Linked DNA regions of Caenorhabditis elegans. The protein of the gene in region 3 purifies or fractionates together with the protein of the main gene of each other region. This does not show direct contact. Each region holds a gene or a part of one and is shown on either strand. Other genes may lie near its edges.

What was found.
Region 1: the proteins of F52E4.5 (region 3) and droe-4 fractionate together in Caenorhabditis elegans (co-fractionation; one large-scale study listed by BioGRID). This does not show direct contact.
Region 2: the proteins of F52E4.5 (region 3) and M18.3 fractionate together in Caenorhabditis elegans (co-fractionation; one large-scale study listed by BioGRID). This does not show direct contact.

Annotation. Positions count from the first base shown.
Region 1 is NC_003283.11:13,988,367-13,994,157, forward strand, and holds droe-4 (dietary restriction over expressed), read left to right. Parts: upstream 1-4,289; 5' UTR 4,290-4,395; coding exon 4,396-4,731; intron 4,732-4,797; coding exon 4,798-4,938; 3' UTR 4,939-5,110; downstream 5,111-5,791. Other genes in the region: ric-7 (CRAL-TRIO domain-containing protein), read right to left, coding at 1,296-1,490, 2,416-2,514.
Region 2 is NC_003282.8:12,101,676-12,109,074, reverse strand, and holds M18.3 (Asparagine synthetase domain-containing protein), read right to left. Parts: upstream 3,218-7,399; 5' UTR 3,217-3,217; coding exon 2,800-3,216; intron 1,886-2,799; coding exon 1,717-1,885; intron 1,672-1,716; coding exon 1,538-1,671; intron 1,488-1,537; coding exon 1,039-1,487; intron 983-1,038; coding exon 724-982; 3' UTR 682-723; downstream 1-681. Other genes in the region: col-129 (Nematode cuticle collagen N-terminal domain-containing protein), read left to right, coding at 1-303; mon-2 (Monensin-resistant homolog 2), read right to left, coding at 3,655-3,951, 4,001-4,158, 4,296-4,480, 5,431-5,744, 6,238-7,389.
Region 3 is NC_003284.9:3,082,982-3,091,495, forward strand, and holds F52E4.5 (Fucose-specific lectin), read right to left. Parts: upstream 4,365-8,514; 5' UTR 4,351-4,364; coding exon 4,248-4,350; intron 4,196-4,247; coding exon 4,095-4,195; intron 4,047-4,094; coding exon 3,894-4,046; intron 3,682-3,893; coding exon 3,487-3,681; intron 3,439-3,486; coding exon 3,001-3,438; 3' UTR 2,847-3,000; downstream 1-2,846. Other genes in the region: twk-16 (Potassium channel domain-containing protein), read left to right, coding at 584-651, 693-835, 883-1,186, 1,234-1,324, 1,383-1,494, 1,548-1,699, 1,760-2,034, 2,084-2,192 and 1 more; pccb-1 (Propionyl-CoA carboxylase beta chain, mitochondrial), read left to right, coding at 7,456-7,512, 7,572-7,691, 7,744-8,514.

The DNA.
Region 1 (5,791 bases), on a different chromosome or scaffold from region 3:
TATGACGCTGTGAGACATCGTCACACTTGTTTTGTAAATGTTTTGAAAGATCCATGAAATCTAACAAAAACTGATCATTTTGCTCAATTGTGAGAGAAAAAAAAACATAATTTAATCTAATTCAAAAGTTGGTCATTTTCCAAGAACGCTTCAAATTTCTAAAAGCTCTCGCTTTGGAACGAATTTCAATAAAGTAAAGTATTCTTGCCTACGTAATAATTTATTCTTAGTATAAAACAATAAATCTTATGATAACAAAGAAAACGTTGTGTCATCACAATTCAAGAACAAAAGAAGTTCGAGATTATGCAGTACATCTGGTTGATTTTGATGAGCACAAAAAACAAGAAACTGCTTTTTCTGATTTGATGGCTACATCATAGGTGCACAAGAGTTCTATATTTTATGAATCAGCTTCATTTCGTTTTAAAAATTATCCTAGTGATTTCAGATCACAGATTTCTTAAATTTAAAAGTGATTTCATGTAATTTTTGGTGCAAATTTATAAATATTCAAAAGGGCAATATTGGTAAAAGGTTTTTAAATGCGGTCAGAATCGACTTTTCTCCTGCGTTGTCACCGGATAAGCGTCATAACCAACTCCCACATTTTTGCAAGATTTGAAAAAAAAAATTGGGAGGTTAGGGTGATGATGCTGAAGGTATACTTAGAAACGTATTGGAGGTGGAAAAACAAGCATCAGTATTTATGAAGCTGGTCTTTTCAGATATCATGGAAAAATAGCCAACGAAAAGACATTGCAATGACCGAGATTTCTGTTTAAAATAGGTATTTTTTGGAAAATTCTCAAAATGTTTGCATAATTCTCAACATATTCAAAACACGATGAATGAAGTTGGATAATTATGAAATTTAGTTTTTATCCTAAATTTGGCCATTACACATGGTGTCAGAGTGTCCCATTTCGGTTTGATCTACGTAGATCTACAAAAAAGCGGGAGTTGAGACGCAGACTTCTCAACTGATTTCGCATGGTTCAGAGCGTGCTAACGTTACTTTTTTTGGGAAAATTCCCTTGTAGATCAAATCGTAATGGGACAACCTGACACCACGTGCCGTTAGGGGGAATTTTGAGTCTTGGGAAGTAACACGAAATTTACTTGTCCCATACGGTAACATACGGTAACTTTCTTATTTCAACAGAGGCAAACTTGCAAATTAATCTAAAATATTATCAAGCTCTCAAAATCCTCTAAATTCGTCGGCGAACATCGGCTTAACCGCTCAAATTAGTCTGCGCGCATTTCAAATATTCCAAATTCCATATCTATACCTTTGGAGGTAAATCGTCATCTCCTCGGTCAACGAGAATCTTGAAAATGTCTGCAGGACTGTCCACATTGAACCAATCTTCACAGAAAAGTCCAGCAAGTCGTTCGTCATACGCTCTCTTCGCTTCGAGAACCATCAACACTTGGTAGGCTTTATGGTGATCTTCTTCAAGTCCGGATAACGAATCAGTTGATGCCTGAAACATTTGGAAAATGAATGGAATTATGGTGTCGATGTATGATTTGAAAGTAATCGTAAGATTGGTCAGATCATTGCAGATTTTATAAAGTTGCGTTTGCGTAGGCATAGTCCTTCAGCATCTAACATCACTGAACATCAATTTGAACTATGGCTTGTTTTCGTAGAAATTCATTCTTTTTCTAGGAATAATTAAACTATTGTTCTAAAAAAGAAAAAGTGAACTACCGGAAACAAAGAAGCCATGCTGAGCGTAGAAAATCGTCGGAAATCACGACATTAAAAAAGTTCAGTGCCAGCGACCTTTATTTCAGATTTTGAAAATTAAATCGACGAAAATCAATTTTTCCCCAACATTTTAGAAAACAATGTATACAAGAAAAAAAACAATGCATGCAAACAATGCAAACAATGTGTTTGTTTTATAAGAATTTTTTTGGCAGATTTGAGTGGAAATCAAAAATCTGAAAAGCCCGGTTTTGGGGAAATTCTACCCAAAATCTGAGAAAAATGAACTGAAAAACTTTCAGATTGAAATTTTATGGAAATTTTTTTAGCATGTTTAGTATGTTTCAATGGTATTTTTATCTATACTTCTACTTATTCATTTTTTAAATGTAATTTAACTAAACTATTCTATCAAAAGTTTATTAAAATGCCACCGGACATTAAATTAAACCAAATTTTTATAATTGAATTTCATGAAATTTGATAACTTTAGCATTTCCGGTAACCGGGATACATGACATTTCAAACTAAAAACTCAAAGAAAAAGTTGTCGTTCTTTGAAACAAGTCACACTTATAGTTTGTAGAAGAATCACACGAAAGACCAAATTTTCTAGTAAATTTTTTGTAAACGTGGGAAAATTGTAGTGATGTTGAGTAATGTAGTGTGGTCGAAGCATTTCTGTTGAAACTCACCAAATCATGCAACTTTTTCAGATCTTTTCGCATTGAAGACGGACTGTAGCCTGGCCATTTATTCATAAAATCGCATTCTTGGACTGCATTGTCGAATCGCTGGAAAATAAACATATATTAGTTTTAATCTCCAAAAAAAATAATTTCTGGACTCGGAGATTTTGTTTAGAAAGTAATCTACCAAATCGCGCGGGTTTATAAAATTTGCCTCCCATAAGAATAAGTCTACTTTAAGCCAGTTTTTGCGTGGTTTTTGTTTTGTTGTTCTCCTCTCATACATCGGATTTTACTGTAATCCTATAAAGTGATTCAATTTCCTATTCTCATATCGTAGACATGTTGATTTGAAAGGAAACTGTCTCGTTTGACGTATTATAATAATCATTATTATTATTCACAGGCATTATTCTTCCTTTTTCCAGCTAGTCGACAGTTTCTGAAACTGTGGACACTTGGGGTTTTGAGCTCAAAAATCACAAGACAGAATATTAAATACTTCCACTTTTTTCACAGGTCAGATCTATCTGCAACAAAATGTAGTCAGAATGATACCAGATATAGGGTCATTTGACAAGGGTCCTTCTTCCTTTATTGACGTCAATAATGAAATCAGAACAAGAAATTGGGTGAAAAGTGCAAAGGGCACAAGATGTACTTTTGCCATTTTTTTAAATTTCTTTTTGAGCATCTTCGTGACCATTCAATCATTTTCAGAAGCGTTCTTCACACGCAAATGTGCCACTTCCACACCTCTCAAAAATTTGAAATTTTCACGCTGAAAATTGGATTCCTCATTTTGTGTGGTTCCTGGACACTTTAAGATTCACTAGGATTAAATTGAGATTAACAGTGACGCCCGGGAGCTCGGACTTTTCGGTTTTTTTCGGATGGGAATGCCGACTAGAAAAGTTACATTCGTTGAAGTGAGACATATTTAAAAGTACAAAACGATTTGTTGATCTTCTATACTTTATCAAATGTCTCTTTAAAGCTACTGGCAAACATTCAAATGATCACCTCATAAGGCGTGGTAGATCAATCACTAAACGTGCAGATTGTCTTTAAAAAAATTTTAACTCCAAAATTTGGTCGTTCAAATAATGAGTCAACGTTGTGGCTCACAAAACAGAAGAGTTCAGAAATATTTTTGGTGCTGGTAGCGATGCGGATAACTAATTAGTAGAGGCTAACTGAAATCATTCACGTCAAGAGGCAAAAGAACACCGAATCGCTGAGTCAAAAAGAGTTCTGATCAACAGTAGGGAAGATCGCACTGTGTAGAATGATCTCAAATGGCGCCCTGTTTGGTACGGTGAAATATAGGGCTGTACAACCGGACGTCCGGTCGTCCGAACCGGACGCACATGCGTCCGGTTGGGGGTAGCTATCCACGACGGCCGACAATTTCCGAGTTTCGCCACTCACTATAAAACTGCTGATTAAGTATAGTGAGTGGCGAAACTCGGAAATTGTCGGCCGCCGTGGAAACCTACCCCAAAACCGGACGCAGTGCGTCCGGTGGTGTCAAAATCGGACGACCGGACGCCGATTTGTACAGCCCTAGTGAAATAAGTACACGTCAAAAACCCCAATTAGTGAATAAAGGGATATCCGTGTTATTTTTTTCCGATCTCCTCATTCTGAAAACCTTACTATCTATATGACATAACTTGGCATTCTTCCCTTGATCCTTATGTACTTTTAACTTAATCAAAACATGAGCTGACCATTTATCTTAACATTATCACCCGTATCTGTCACATGTTTCTAAAAAACACCTCCTGATCTTCAGCTTTTCTTTTCCACCTCCTTTTTCCTATTTTCCAGCTCTGTTCAAAGCCCGCCTTTCGTTACTAAAAAACTGACTCCGCCCATTTCAGCTTCATCATATAAACAGAGTTGGCAGTAGGGCTAATCACTACTTCGAGTCACTCGGACATCTGCCGATCTCTTTTTTTCGATCTCACTGAAACGGTCGACATGTTGAACACTCCAACTGTTATTCTCATCTCTTCACTCGTCCTGGCCTCGGGTTACAGTGTTCGTTCAACTGCTAAGAACACCGTTCAAGATGCTCACGATCAACTCACAAAGAGCATTCGGTGCTGGGAGCCGATTGATGTCAACAATCCATCAAAAGGATACACGATGAGCGAGCCGATCTACGAGTTGTGTAGCTACATGCCAGACCCAAAGGACTACAACAAGTACTACGTCAATGGAGTTCAAATGGATTCCGATGATTACACCAACATCTTGGCCATGTACGGAAATCCAATCCCAGGACACGCTGTGATCAACGTTTGTCTACAAGAGGTAGGTTCAATATTATCAGGCTTAATATAATTGGAGGAATCGGTTTCTTATATAAAATCACTTCAGGCATTCCAATTCCACGCTGCAAACCATCCATCTCAGGTCAGCCTACGTTGTTTGTGCAAAAGAGACGGTTGCAATCTACCAAAAGGATTTACAACCTTCCTCGATTTCAATAAGCTCCCGATGCCAGAAGTCTTCTACTAATTCCTGAATCCTTTCGTCCAATAATATGCTATTCGTCGGGATGTCGCCAGTCTTCTTTTCCTATAATCCCCATTTTTGAATAATTCCTGATTTTCTTCTTCCTTGAACCCGTGATAATGACCATTTCTGATAATTGAACAAACGAACTGAATAAAGATGAGAAACGTTGCAGTATTCTGAGTTGTTCCATAATCCCAGAATCTTCAAATGATCGATTGCTTACGAATATTTGAAAGAAAAAGTGAACAAAGACTATGGTATACATACTCTCCCAACTATAAGTTAGCCGACTATTTTCAGATATCATGAAGAGGCTCCTTCGACGTAGGTAAATCTTCTGATTATACCCATTCATCTTGATTGTATAAATGCCGGATTAACTGACATCCATTATTGCTTTCCATTCTTAATCCGATTAGATTATTCCATTTGTAGATCCACCAAAAAATGAAATATATGTGTGACGTATAGAGACCAAAGAAGCTATTCATTATTCTAGATCATTCCAACTGTCTAACTTTGGTTTTCAAACTTTTAAACAGTAAATAAATGAGCCCTGAAGAGTTGATCGCCGTGCGCGTCCAACATCACCCATACAACTCATAAAGTATTCTTCGTGTGAGGTCTTGTTTACGTCACGGGCTCTTCTTGCCAAAAAGCGAAAAGCTAAAAACGAAGAACATACAACGCAACATAGGTTATTCTGCAAAATTAATGAGATCTTGCTGATGAGAGTAATCGAACACAAATTCTTCGATGCATCTGAATGATCAATCTGGCAATGAGCAATGGATACACATAAATTATTTCCCCTGCAAAACTAGTGGCATTCAATTTGCATTTTAATGATAAT
Region 2 (7,399 bases), on a different chromosome or scaffold from region 3:
CCAGGACAACCAGGACAGCCAGGACCAGACGGACACCCAGGACAACCAGGAAACGCTGGACCACCAGGAACTCCAGGAGCTGCTGGACAACCAGGAGGTGATGCTGCCTACTGCCCATGCCCATCCCGTTCCTCAGTTGTTCGTGCTCAAGCCGCTGTTGCTCGCAACCGTCACGTCGCCGCTAGACATCGTTCGGTTTCCCGTAGAAAGGCAGTTGCCGCCAGAAGATCCAAGGCTCGTCGTGTTGTTGCTGCCAAGCACCGTGCCGTTGCCAAGAGACATCGTGCCGTCCAAAAGGCTTAAATCATTCCTTTTCAGTAATAAACATAGATTGCATTCAATTTAACATGTTTTCCAATATTTACAAGAAATTCGTAACATCAATACAGAAACCTACAAATTTATACTTGAAGGGGAAATTTTCTTGAATATATTCTGAAACGACTTGAAATGAGGCGCATTCAAATACAAGGTATGAAATAATGTAGTGTTCTGTTTGATTAAATTTAATCCAAGAGTCTACGAGTTTTGGAAGCGAAAAAACTAATTATTTGCAAAGTTACCTTGAAAAACTTAAACACCGTTTTCGCCTTTTTCGATCACTTAAAAAAGGAAAAATCTACATTTCTGCTGAAATTACATCCTCTTTATCATGTGGAAGAAAGTTATTATTAACAGTACCCAAATTATCAATTTATTTTTCAACAAGTAATCATTCAAACATCAATTCACATCAGTTTTCAATAAATGCGGAGATTTATCACTTCCTTTGATAGAATTATCACCAGCGTTGCTCATTTTTGCCATTCTCGATCCAAATTGCATTGCCTGTTTCGGAGCATCATATGGGGATCCCAACATTTTCACTGTCTCTCGGAGCAATTGTTTCTCTCCAACTCCACGTGGCAATGATAGATCCCATTTGGAATCGACTGGAAGTGCGTTGAGCCAAGTGACTACGGTATCTTCGAGAAGTGGAGATCTGAAATATAACAAAAATCATATTATTTTTTTTATTAGGAGATTTTGAAAACTTACAAAATGGTCTTCCCAAGTTGAGCAGCAACTCTAGCATCTCTTCCTCCATTTCTCGATCCCAGCCTTCGCAATTCATTTTCACATTCTTCCGCTACATTTTCTGGAATTTGTTCCTTCTCAAATCGAGTTCGATGCCTTGCGTATCCGGCAAGAAGTTCATCTGCTCCTGATCCCAGAAGGCATGTAGTTGCAGGTGACCTCACTGATTGTTGATTCTCACTATCAACTCCTTCGGCTCTGACAGCAAACCACAGAACACAAGACAGTGAGTCATCAAGTACTGAACTCGCTGGTTGAGCTGCATCTGAGATAGATTCTTTGCGATTCACTTCGAGGGTTTGGCTATCAACGTTGACAAGAATGAGGCGAAATTGGCGAGTTGGGTATGCAGTTCGAAATGATTCCAGCGCCTTTCTGGCACGTTTACGATCAGGTGCTTGTTCACATTCCTATAAAATATAGATTTATTATTCGATATTAAATTAAAATAAAAACTCACTTTCTCACTATTACCAAATGCCACATTAATTAGATCAATTTGCATATTCTCTGGAACACTTGAATGTACAACATGAGCAACAAATGTAGAATCGACACCTCCAGACAAGCATACTGCCACGTGGCTTTCATGATCTAAAGTTAGATGTTATAAAAGCGATTTCATTAGAAAAAACAAACAATTTTTCAATAGAATCTTAGTCGCATCGATAACTTTTTGAAAGAGATCTTTGGTATTAAATGAGTCAATTTCTCCTCCAGTTGATCTACTAACATTCAATAATCCATGTTTCTTGTTGACCACAATTCGAGAGATATCCGACCCAGAAAAGTAGCCATCCAATACATTCTGTAATGATATAGCATTTATTGTCAGAAATAAGTAATAAATGCCTAAGCATCAAATATAGTAAAACTTTTAAAAATATGGAATTGTTTTTTCAACTAATTAATTATATTTTTATTTGTATTAGGTAGAATATCGTCCGTGGGGATTTTGTATAAATATCAATGTTTTGGTAATTTGTATTAAATTTGGACGTTTTGAAGAATTTCGAGCATTGTGGCAGGTTTGAACTCCTATTACGGGAACACAAAATTCTGAGAATGTGTATTTATTGCGAAAAAATTTTGACGCGCAAAATATCTCGAAGCGAAAACTACATCAATTATTTAAATGACTACTGTAGAGCTTGTGGTGATTTACGGGCTTGAAATTCGATATGATTTTTTTTTCGAATATCGACAGTGATTTTCAATTTTCGAAAAATTTTCCTTCGTTTCTTCGTAGGATTTTCTAATTTTTTGCTGAATTTTGATATTCAATCGATAAATAAAGTATTTTTGTCATTTCGAAAATCGAGCCCCGTAAATCGACACAAGCTCTACAGTAGTCATTTAAATAATTACTGTAGTTTTCGCAACAAAATATTTTGCGCGTCAAATATGTTGCGCAATATGCATTCTCAGGTTTTTCATAATAGAATGTTTGAAAAAAAAACCATACTATGATTAGAATTCAAAAATCGTAGAAAACCACTTTTTTACCGACACATCCGAAATTATAATGAAGAAAACGAGAATTCACCAATTCTTGCTTGAAATTTGAATTTTTTAAAAAGTTTCTATTCGGACATTTCAACACTTTACGAATTCTGAAAATTTTCCGAATTTCAGCAGTTCATCGGAAAATTTTCGGTTTTTTAAAAAAGAATATTCAGGCAAATTCTCCACTGGCGGTACTTCATATAAAATTGCACAAACCTCTGGATACTCGTCAAGATATGAATAAATAACTGGATCAGTTGAATCAAGACTAAAAACAGTCACTTGTCCGAATGGAATTTCAATCCATTTCCCAGATGTTTCTGGCTTTGTTCTACATCCAAAAATCATCGATTCGAAATTAAAAACCAAAGATTGTCTTCCAAAAACATCTCTTCCAATGAAAAGTTTTTTCAATTTCTGATTATAATAAATAATGCTCCAGGATCCTTGTTGCTCCAGAATTTCATTAACAATACTATTAACTGATCCATTTGAGAGTTTTGAAACATGAAGTTGTGAGGTGGTTCCAGAATAAACAAGATAATCTTCTTCAATCATTTTGATATATCCTTTTAATTCCTCGCCCAATGTTTCATCCTTTAAATGCCACCATCGATTGTAATCAATGCCCATTCTGAATTTCAGTTCTTTTTCCAAATTTCATAATAACTGGCAATAAGAAATCTCAGAATATTGACAGAAAAAAAAAATAGTTTCAAAGTCATTGCATTTAAAATTGGATAGTTTTATTACTACAAAGAATGAAAAAGACACTATCTCACAACATAATAGTCCGGGATATCGATTGAAGTAAATCATCATCAAAAAAAAGAAGCGGGAAGTGTTTTTGCGTTGAATCACAGAAAAAAATGAACTCGTTATTCTGAGGGTACTAGTACTCGAAACTATACAAGATTTTGAAGCAAAAAAAAAGAATATGAATAAAAATAGGATAAAGGCAACTGTGTGTCGATCGATAGTCGATAATTTAATAACCCATATGCTAAATGAAGACAGAGTGAAACTGGAACCAATAAATAAAATAAATATGGCTACTGGAGGGTGACGTGGCTATTCCACGGTGGCTTGTGGAATATTTTGAAGAAGGAAGAGTGTTTGATATGATTTGATTGTCTTGATCAGTTGATGTTCCAGTTGAGGATCAGCATGGCAGCAAGGCATCACATCAACAACCGATGGAAATAGTGAAACTAAGTGCGAGTAGAGTTCAGTCATTTTTGGATCTCTTGCAAGTCGTGCAATTAGTGAGTCAACAGCTTGAAGTGCAGATATGATTTCTAGTATTCTGGATCTAGGTAAACGAAGATCTCCAGCAGCAGACCAATCTTTGCAGAAATCAGACATAACCTAAAATCAGAGTAGTTTGTGTCTTTATCGGACCTATTTTTGATCCTACCTGTGTGCATCTTTGTAAAAGACTTGTCACAGCAACATTTCCAAGAATTCCTCTTCCTTCGTCTTCTTCAGTATTTGTATGTGCTCCATCAGATGACATCAATAGAGCATCAAAACAGGCCTTTGCCAGCTCATTTCGTTGAGTATGCGAGTCTGAAGCTGAATTCGAGGGTTGTTACCGAGTACACCGAAAACATGCAATCAGAATGGAGAAATGTGGAAAGGAATACCAACACCAACTAGTTTTGTGAGAAGTGTTAGAAGTAAAAAGAAGACGATTTCTCTCGAGCACTTACCAAGAACATCTGTAGAATCGATTTGTGAAATGGAGCCACGATGAAGTAGTGCAATCAGCCGTTGAACATCTTCTTGTGGTAAACGGGATGCATATGCGAGCATTTCACTTCGAATTATTTCAATTGCCTGACATTCCATTAGTTCATCACGTTTTCTTTCGTCTGCTGCCAGTCTCGTTGACTTGCTAGAACCGCAGCGAAAAATCAAAGATTAGAATTTTAAATTAATTGCATTTCTATTTAAGCTATATAAAGAGTGAAAAATTTAAAAATTTCCATAACGAAAATTACATATTTTCAATAAAAATATATAGTTTTCTTTTTTTCGTACATTTTTCAACACAAGTGTTTTTTTTTCAAATTTCTAACAATCGATGTTTTGAATTTCTCTGAAAAAAATTCGAAAAACCGAAAAAATTGAAGAATATTTTCGATTGAAACTATTGATCCATATTCAACATTTAGCAATTTCGCCCAAAAACTACGGTACCTGGTCTTGACACGACCAGTTTTTGCAAATACAAGAGACTATTCGTCTTAAAGGATTACTGTAGCTCACGATTTAAAAAAAATTCTATTCAAGTGAAACATAAATTTTAAAGGCAAACAACGCCGGGTTTGGAACGAAATACAGCTGTAGAAAAAATATAGAAATACTTCTAAAATTATTTTTTTTTAAACTAAAAATGCTGGTTTTTCGAGTCTCAAACAGCAAAAAAAATATTGCGAGCTTTTGCGATTTTTCCCTCAAAAATACAGTATGTGTACCTTTGAAAAATCAATTTTTTTTTGTTTTTTTTTGAATTGTAGTCATTCTCAATTTTTTTAAAATTTGAATTAGTTTGTAAATTTTGATGTTTTGATTTTTTTTTTCGAAATATGAGACTTGGAAAATGTATCTAAATGTTCTTAATTTATCTGAAAGTCATCGAAAAAGCTTTAATCTAAAATTAGTATGTATATTTTTGAAACAGAATTTTTTCGATAGTTCAGAAAATCAAGCATTTGAAAGAAAAGTTATTTAAATGTTTCTTTCGAATTAATACTGAAGAAGCCTTCTATTACACCTATACTAATTTTCCCCATGAGACTTTTTTTGTTGAAAATTTCCAAAATCAAATCTAAAATAACTTACTTTGGAGTAAAAAGCCATCTTTCCATAGTATCACAAATTGCAGACCATAAACCTCGAAAAACTTCTGGATTCTGACGAGCATATGGAATGGATGTTCTCAAGACAGACATCAGAGAAGTTGCAGCAAGTTTCCAAGTACTTGCAGAGATACAAGTGTACTTCATGTAAAGTGGTTCTCCGAGGAATTTTATGATATCAATAGCAATGAGCGAGTTGGCAACTTCTGGATTCTGTGATGTTGAAGTAAAGAATTCGATTGCAATTCGGAGAGAATATTCGGAAAATGGAACAATTGTAGTCAGGGCGTAGTCTCTCTGAAAATTTAAATTATTTATTCAAATTAAATAATTCTTTGCTTTGTTATACCCAACATGGTCTCAGAAGGGCGAATTTAAAAATAATATTTCTCAAAATTTCGAAAAAAGCCAAATTCTGCTAAAATCTTATTTTTCAAAGAAATTTATATTTTTCTTATTTTTTTTCTTTCGCATAACCGTAATACGATAAAAATTGAATGTTTTTGGTACCAACTGTGGTTACTTAATAAAGATTTTTTTTTCGATTTTTCGATTTTCCCAGCGAAAAAACAAAAATATTCCGTCTATCGATTTGTCTAAAATTGAAATTTTTTGACAAGCATGTAAATTAACGCGAGATCAACTAATAAAATATGTACGATTTTTGCGAAATTTCGTTTTTTTTTTGAAATTTTGACCTGTCATAATTGTTTTTGATCAGCACCTTTTTCGAAATTCGTGCACATTTTGAGTCCATACGAGCAATATTCCTTCAATAAAAAACACTTACATAGCTCTTCTGTCCACCAGGCGCAACTTTATTCGGAGAAATTCGTTGTGTTGCCATACTTGCAAATTTCAGCAAAAGTCGTATTTGATCCGGAATAGCGGCTCGCAGAGATGTTCCTGATAGTGTACATTCAACAAATACAATTTTAACAGCTTCCAAAAGAGCTTCCTGTGTCGGTGTCAGATGTGTAGTAGCTGATGGAAGTACAAATGGTGCTTGTTCTGATGGAATGGGTACATTCATCATACTTTCCAGTACTGCTGGCAGACTTTCATATTTTAAATCGTCTACAGTAATACTTTTGGCAACTTTGTCGAATAATGGAGGGAACACATGAAGAATCGCTGTGAGATGAGAAGGTCCGGGAACATAGATTCCTGGAGCAAGCGATGCTAACGAAGACGATGATGAATTCATTCTTGGAGTTGAAGAAATTGATTTCGAATCAGCATTCACTGAATTTGCCATTGCAGCACATCCTTGTCTAGCCAATCCTCTTGAAATTCTCAGCCAAACTTTCCAAGATTCAACCCATTGGGCTTGTGGTAACTCGGGTGTAATTGCATCAATAGTAGAATCAGATCCATTGCTTTTTTCATGACTATTTACATTCAACGTCTGTGATGAGATTTTTCCGAGTAAAACTTCCTGATAACTTCGAATTGCTGATAGTGATAGTTCGGCATTTTCGTAGCACGCAGCCCAATCCAAATATCCTAGAAATGCTTCCCAAACAGCACCAAAGTCATTCAACGCGAGCAAAGATTTTCGTTGAGAATTGAAAATTTTGGATATAGCAGAAATGGTATGAATGCATGTTTCCGTCCATTGCTTCTGTTCTGTATCTCTCGAATGATGCATTATCAGTTCTCCATTTGATTTTTCCGTAGATGCACATCTTGTCTGTGATCGAACTTTGTCAAGTAATGGAATCATTATCTGCCATATAACACTATGCCATGCAGCAGATCGAAGTGCATGTCCATGTGCTGTGACTGTTTGTAGAAGAGTTTGACACGCTGATTTTCGTACAGCAAAGCGAGAGTCTACACATGATTCGGAGAGGCACGTGTACAGTACCATCCACACAGCTTCGGAAGCATCGTTTCCAACGGATTCCATTTTTCGGTAAATGAAGTCGGAAATCGTCCACTGAAAATAT
Region 3 (8,514 bases):
CACGAAGATCTTTGGAACAGTATTGCTGTAACTACAACTATGAAGACATTAACTGAGCGCTTTAGAATTTTTCATGTTGAAAGTCCATAAGTGGAATTTTGAACAAATTTATCAAAAAAAGTTATGACGGTTCAAATTAAACCAAGAACATTTTTAAAAACAGAGTATGGTCAGTGTGTCAAAATTTCGAGGAATGTGGACTTTTTGAGTAATTTTAAACATAGCTGCATGTTTGAACGGCAAAAATGTTTGAATAAAAACAAATTGAACGAAAATAAAGTATTAAACTCCTAGAAAATCTTTCTTTAAACTTCCAAAATTATGATATGTCTGAGGTTTGACAACTTTCTGGCTGCCAAACGAAACATTTAGAAAAATTTTTAACTTTTTAGTTTAGTGTTTGAATATTTCAGCGCTAGAAGAGCAATTTAAGTCGTTTTTCTACTGGAGATTTTCACCTTAAAGTGCTCGTTTTCTAACAATATGCAATAATACTTTTTTTGTTAATTGGTTTGATGAGAATTCCAAAAAAAAAAAGTTTTTTGTCCAATGTTAAAGCACGAAAAAGTTAAAAAAATTTCAGAGACGAAAGAAGCGAATGGAATTTTGTAACTGCAACGTTATATGGTTTTGGCATTGTCACAACATTAGGTACATCATGATTTATATACTTGCACCCATTTGGTTTTAAGGGTACAACAGAATTGCGCCAATAACTTATACGGGAAGAATGTTTTGTATCGTTTATGGCATTTGTGGTATACCAGTTACAATGATCATCATTGCAAATGTTGGCCAGTACCTGAACAATTTTGCAGGAGATTCGAGACGCAAGGTCACTTGTTTTTTAATTTTTTTTTAAATTCCAAGTTCTATTTCTAGATAGAAGCCTACAGGCAGCAGAGACGAATGTCAAAAGCTTCATTGGCCGGCAAAATTTACAAAGAATCTTCAATCCAAGTCACATCGTTAGCTCTTCTATGTGTCTTCTTAATATACGTGGCAGTTGGTGCATTACTATTGCCATTGTTAAATGGAGAACTCGACTTTTTCAACGGACTTTATTTTAATTTTTTGTGTTTAACTGCGATAGATTTTGGGCAACTGGTTCCGATTCGGGTTGAGCTGCTACCAATAACATTTCTGTATGTGTGCATTGGATTGGCGATTACAACAATTGCTATCAGTTAGTTTTTAAACACTTGTGAAAATTATCATCGTTTTTTGTTTCAGATATTGGTTCTGAATATATGAAAAAACTTCACTACTGGGGCAAGAAAATGAAGAATGCCGCGCAGACAAGAATTTGGTTTGGTGGAAAAACGTAATTTTATTTTTATTTTTGAAAGACCACATTAGTTGAATTATGTTAAAATTTTCAGTTTAAAAGTCAGAGACCTCCTTCATGCAGTGGGTAAGAAATGTGGCGTAGAACCAGGAATGATTGATGCATTGGATTTGGAAAATGTTGTAGAGCGGACAATTGCTATGCAGGTTTTTTTTTCAAATTTTTTTTGCTCATACAAATTTTAAAAGTAATTTTTCAGGAAGGACGGGAGCCGCCCGAGGATTTGAACGATGAGCCACCACGTGAGCCATCTCCTCGTTCAATCATTCATTCACCGTGTTCCACAAGACCATCGAATCCTCCAATGAGCCCACCATCTCCACGAGAAGACCACCCATTTATATTCAAAATGTACTGCAAAGCCAATTTATATTTCTGAATCTCTCATTTTGAGTGTTCTCTTTTTTTCAGGGATGCTCCTGCTCCTCGAAGCCCATTACCATTGCCGGCATATGAATTGGATATCAAAAAGCCGATATTTCAGGCATTGTCCAATGAGTTTATGAACCAATCGGCGCAGGAGAAGTTGTTTAATGATCTCGATACTTTTCAAATTGAAATTAATACTGAGCTAGTTGAGGATCATAAATGTGAAAGTGTTATCATTATTGAACCACCAGCAACATTTGAAGACATGACTATACAACACAGTCTTTGTGTTGAAGATTATGAGAGGGAAGAAAAAGGTTATTGATTATTCGATGATTGTTTTATTATCAAATCAACAAATTTCAGTTCCGAAACGATTCCGCGAAAAGAAAGAAATGTATGGTCGAGACCCGCGTAAACTGTATGAAACTTATCAAGAGGAATGGGATAGATTGGAACGGTTATCAGATAGGAAGTAAGTTGATCAGATTGATGGACTTCAATGACAAAACCAATTAAGGCACGGTCCGAGAAGGAAGTCAGTTTTGAACTTATCAAACTGTTCACCGGAACGAAGTGTTTCCCCATCTCCGATCAGGCATTCTTTAACTGGGGAGGGCCACAGAAGAGATTCGTAGTCCTGCGAAGAGTTTTACAAATTGCCGCAGATTTTGTATTTTGTTTAAATAAATAATGTATACATATTATTACTGCATTTTTACAAATTTTGATTTTCAGACCAATGTGAAAAAACTAGTTGAACATATATTCCGTTGATACACAATTTTGCAAATAGAACAGAAAAAGTTTTATTTCAGAAATTTCGAGTTCCAATTATGAATTTATAATTTTTTTTTGAGGGCATATTTTGAACTACTGCCTAACTGCTGTGGTAATTTTAGCAATTATCAAAGTTGCTGACTGCCGAAAACGCCAATTGTCCAAATGTTTGTAATTCTATAAACTCGTGGAGTTTAGAGCTTCGGATATTTGAATATTTGGGGCAATTCAAGTTTGAATTCTTTCTCAAACTAATAAATGGAATAAAGTTTACTGCGCATGATACAGTATTAAATATCGATATTTTAGGTAAAAGCCGACAAAACTACAATTCCAAATAAATATTAGAATAACTGTACTGAATATTTATTCAATTGTCAAACATAAAACTTACTCCCAATCCAATTATTTCAATTTTATTACTGGCAGAAATTATTTCAGAGATTCCCATAAATCACAGTAGGTTAAAATATAATTTTAAATACATTAAAACATTAAACAATTTAGATCGAATCAAGTTGAACTTTTGATACTGCAGCTTTGTTAACAGTGTAAAGAGTTGAACCGTCAAAAATATGCTCTCCCTCTTCGACAGTTTGAGGAAGTTGGACCCACTCCAAAGTAGACTTATCGTCAAAAATGTTTCCTTTGAGAGCCCAAACGGCTCCGTAGAAAGCGCTTCCCGTCATTCCTTTTTGAACACGGCCACCAGCGACAATGAAAGAATTGGTCTTCTTGTCAACAAATGAGCAGTTTGGACCAACGAAACCGTATTGGGGAAGAGAACTGTACTCTCCTTCAATATCAACATGACGAGCTGTTTTTGATTTCAAGTCAAAAACGAAGAAACGAGTTTTCTCCCAATTGAATCCACATCCATGAACAGCGTAGCTAATGAGCACTTTGTCATTGACAGTCTCAGCAATTACTGGAGATCCTCTCTGAAAACAATTTTTAATATTATAAAATTCTTGAACAATCTTCGTTACCAAATGGTTGTCATCAGAGTGAATTTGCGAGATGTTTTCGACAGTAGAAGAAGCTCCATTGACAGTGAGAGAATAGATTTGAATGTGACAATTGTCGTCTTTGAGAAGAAGAATAGTTTCACCATTTGAAGAAGTTCCAGCAGCAGCGATAACTTCAAATCTTTGAGTCTCAGTGAGGGTTTTGGTTTCTGGGGCCTGAAAAAACATTGTGGTGTATATCTAATAAAGGATGATGGTTCGAAAAAAAGTCAATTTCCAAAGCTTGTTCATATGCTGACAGTCTATGGGTCTATACGTACACTTTAGGTTTATATGTACCATATCGAATTTTAAACTAAAAAAAAAACTTACAGAAGTAATACTTTAAATTAATTTTGAAACAAAATTCTAATCACAGAATCACTCACATTTAACAAAACCTCATTGAAAGAATTACTATCCCATCTGAACAACTTTTGGAATCCAATTGCTCCAAAATTGACAAAAGCGAGAAGATAAAGCTGATTGTCACGAACAAACAACACTTCTTCCGAGTTTTCTTCGCTTACGAGCTCCGGGAACTGAAATTGTTTAGGTCTGAAATGACCAGGAAAACAAGGCAAACTCACATCATGTCTCTCCCATTTGTTGGATTCCTTATCAAAAGTCAGAACGTAAGTTCCTGCAAAAGCCACGCGATGTCCCCAGTTGTGATTTGGTTGAGCGACGTCTAAACAAGAAAATTGTTCTAAATTTGAAAAAAAATGTATATAAATGCTCACATTTGCGCCCCACCAAAGTCAACTTTCCGTCTTGAACGAACGAATAGTGATATTCGCATAGCTCTCCGTTGTTTCCAAAACCTTCAGCAATTTTCTCAGACATGATCAACTGAAAACATACATTTTAAATCAAAAAGAATTAGTACAAACATCTGAATATAACAAAAACGGAAGAAAGTTTATAAACGCGGCAGGTGAAGTCGGAAACCAGGAAGTAAAAAGAGAAAAAGGAAGATGTTCTGGGCAAACGGCCAAAGGTTGAACTCAATTCGTTCTTCTATAGAATTGACGGTTCAAAAAGACATTTAGACATAGAAGTCCTTAGAAGATTTCTAGAAAACTGGTTGCAAAACATATTCGCAAAACATTACGAAACGACTCTTTGCCGAATAAAATGAAAAATTTATAGAACATAATTGGACATATAATATTTTATGTGAGGTTTCAATAATATATTCTCAACAACTCAAAAGAAAACACATCCAAAAATCGATAAATGCGCAAGGTGAGAGGCAAAAATGGCTTAGAGAGCGGTGTATTTCTATTGGGGAAGTCCAGTTTTATACGTGTTGTTTGCCAGGTGGCCAGTGACTCATTGTGGGAAAATTGGGAGAATAAACAATATTGCGAAATCAAATATTCTTCATGAAATTTCCATGGAAAGAATGAACACTGTCGGAAAATATTGTTATGTAATTCTCACAGTGAACAACAACACGATTGTCCAAAAAAAAACTTTATTCATAATACTGCAAAGAAGGGTGAAAGTGAATCAAAATGGAACTTGACGTATTTGGTCAATAGCAGTAGTATTTGCTGCGAACATTTACGGGGAATTTGGTATTTGCTTTTGTCTGTGTACTGTAAATACAAAGAAGTTTTGATCAAAAGTAGAAGTACCTACTTTAAAAGTGGTAAATCTGAAAATTAAACAGTTTGATGTCTTGTAGGCTACCAAAAAACATCAGTTATACAGCATAAATTATGTTATTGTACTGAAAATAAAACATTCGAGCACATTGTTAAATCATAGCTAATCTTTATTTCGGCAGTGACCAAAATGGATATCCTCTGATATTTTCAAAGCTGCGGACTTCTGAATTTTCGAAAAAAAAAATTCATTTTCAAGAATATACAGATTGCAGGTTTTATAGATTTTGAGACACAAATTTATGTCAAACAGTGTTTTTTTAAAGCTCAATCAATTTAGACTAAATACGCAATTACCATAATTGGAAACCAGGCAGTAAGGATCTGGAACGAGAATCCCAATTTCTAATTCCTCTGAAATTAAATTCAATGTTTTGTTCTAAAGACAAAACTTTGGCTTATGTTGGTTTTTCGCTATAGTGTCAAAATATTTGAATATCATAGTAAAAGTTTTCAAAATTTTTTTAAAGTTTTCATTTACTGTCGAAAAGTGACAATCGCACGTGGTGTCAGAATGTCCCATTTCGTTGTGATCTACCAAAACTGCGGGAATTTAGACGCAGACTTCTCAACTGGTCTCGCATGGTTAAGAATGAGCTGACGTCACATTTTTCGGGGAAAAAATTCCCGCATTTTTTGTAGATCAAACTGTTATGGGACAACCTGACACCACGTGCAATCGCTCAGTTTTTGCACTCATAACTTTGGAAGTCGACCAAAAAAAAAGTTCTACGATTTTTATACTTTAAATTTGATTTAATTATTTGTTGTAAAACATTTTAGGGGTTAGAACATGCAATATTGCTCTGTGTTTCCTCAAAAGCTCTTTTTTGTTATTTGGCAGATTGCTAAAACATTAAAAAAATCTAAAATTTTCTGGTTGGTTTTATTATAATCTCCGATTTTTTTCAAAACATAAACATAGTTCAAATAATGGAACAAATCTATATTGTGAACAAAAGTGAGGAAAAATTTTATAAGTTAATGTTGTAACAATAAAGATTACAAAACTATTTCCAAAGTTTGTCTTCTCTCAGATATTTTTTGTTTCCATACACTATTTTAGTGCAAAGAGCAAAAAAATTTTCAACAAAGTTTCTGAGAGAAATTCTAGAAAATGTTACTTTGGAGTGATTTGGGAATTTTTAAAGTTTTGAAAATGTACCATATTTTGCATGTAGAATGCCACATTTTTTATCAAAAATGAGCCTAATGTTTTGAGAATTTTTAAAAAATCCTTTCGATGCATTTAAACATTTTCTATCAGGTTTCTACTTATATCGTGTTATCGTTTACTTTTTCCTTTTCAATTTGAAAAACCAAAGACATCACTTTTGTTATTCTCTCTACTTTTTCTTTTGAAGAACCTTGATTCGCAGGACATGTTTCAATGAAGTCGGAGAAGGTAAGAGAAAAGTGACAAGTGGTCTACAACGTTTGTTTTCAATTTGCGACACTGCACGCACAAAAACGCTCCGTTGAGAACCGATTTGATCTTGCTCTACGGCGTACAGTTTTGTGTTGTTATTATGTTGTTTTGATGTTGTTTCGATGGTCCGTCAATATCGACTGTCCTTCACAGTTAGTCTTCGAGCGGTGGTCTCTTGTGTCGCCTTTTTTTCTCATTTGTCCTCCCCCCCTTTACCACTGCGCAAATAGATTTGGGATCTAATGTATGTAAGTGCGCTCTACCGCAATCAATGGGTTTCTCCAAACAAATGCCCTTGCCATTTGAGAAACGAAACAGAATCTCTTGAAAACATTTCTGATAACCGATTCGTTTTAGTTTTCTACAATCAACTTCAAAGAATAATCATTATCTATCGATTCACTGATATAATTCTCGTGTTGTGACCTTATCAATCGACAAACAAGTCGATTACTCTGAATGTTCACATCAAAAACTCCTCACCCGTATTGCCGGCGTTAAAGTGAAAATCTTGAAACGATGGTAAACTATTATTTTTTGTTTTGTTGCCTACGTGCTGGCCCCCGACGTGTCCATCTCTATCTCTCTTCCCCGTGACCGTGGTGTGCACTGCTGCCGGGCGCGTTTCTCCCCGTCCTGTTCTCCTCACATCCCTTTCTGCGCGCTGCAATCTTCTAAATGTCACGCACACAGCAAAGTTGCACTACACTTGTTGGGACCTTCTTCTCTCCGAGCATTGACCGCTCAGTTTTTGTCCTCCCTTTTTCTCTTCTTACTCAAATTCTTTTTATTTTTCTTATCTACATTTGAAAAACGTTTCTTACTTTTCACTTTTTGAGAGCTTTGGGTATGTTGTCCCGATTTGCCCGTCAACTGGCGCTGCCAGTTTTCAACGGAGTTCTTCATGTGAGTTTATATTAGGAAATAAGTATAGGAAATAAGTTATAATGAACTATATTTTTCAGCCAACTCGAGCCACCAGTTCGATCGCTCATACCATCAAGGTTGCCCATAAGATCGATGAGACCAGAGAGAAAGCTCTTCTCGGAGGTGGAAAGAAGCGCGTCGACGCTCAACATGCTCGCGTAAGACATTTTTCCAAAAAAAAAAACCTACTTATATGAAAAAATTTTGCAGGGAAAGCTAACAGCTCGCGAACGCATTGATCTTCTTTTGGATAGAAACACCTTCAGGGAGTATGACATGTTTGCCGAGCACACCTGCAACGACTTCGGTATGCAGAAAGAGAAATATCCTGGAGATTCGGTTGTCACTGGACGTGGAGAAATCAACGGACGTACCGTCTTTGTTTTCTCCCAAGACTTCACTGTTTTCGGAGGATCTCTGTCATCCATTCACGCCAAAAAGATCGTCAAGATCATGAGAGAGGCCATGCTTGTCGGAGCCCCAGTCATCGGACTCAATGACTCCGGAGGTGCCCGTATCCAGGAAGGAGTTGAGTCGCTTGCTGGGTATGCCGATATCTTCCAAGAGAACGTGATGGCTTCTGGTGTCGTTCCTCAAATCTCTATGATTATGGGACCATGTGCTGGAGGAGCCGTCTACTCGCCAGCTCTAACCGACTTCACTTTCATGGTTCGTGATACCTCCTATTTGTTCATCACTGGCCCAGATGTTGTCAAAGCTGTTACCAACGAGGAGGTCACCCAGGAGGAACTTGGAGGAGCTAAGACTCACACTGTCACCTCTGGAGTCGCTCACGGTGCTTTCGACAACGATGTTGATGCGCTCATGAGCCTCAGAGAGCTTTTCAACTATCTTCCACTCTCCAACACTGATGCTGCTCCAATCCGTGCTGCTGAGGATCCATGGGACAGAGCTGTTCCATCTTTGGATACTGTTGTTCCATTGGAAAGCACTGCTGCCTACAACATGAAGGACGTTGTT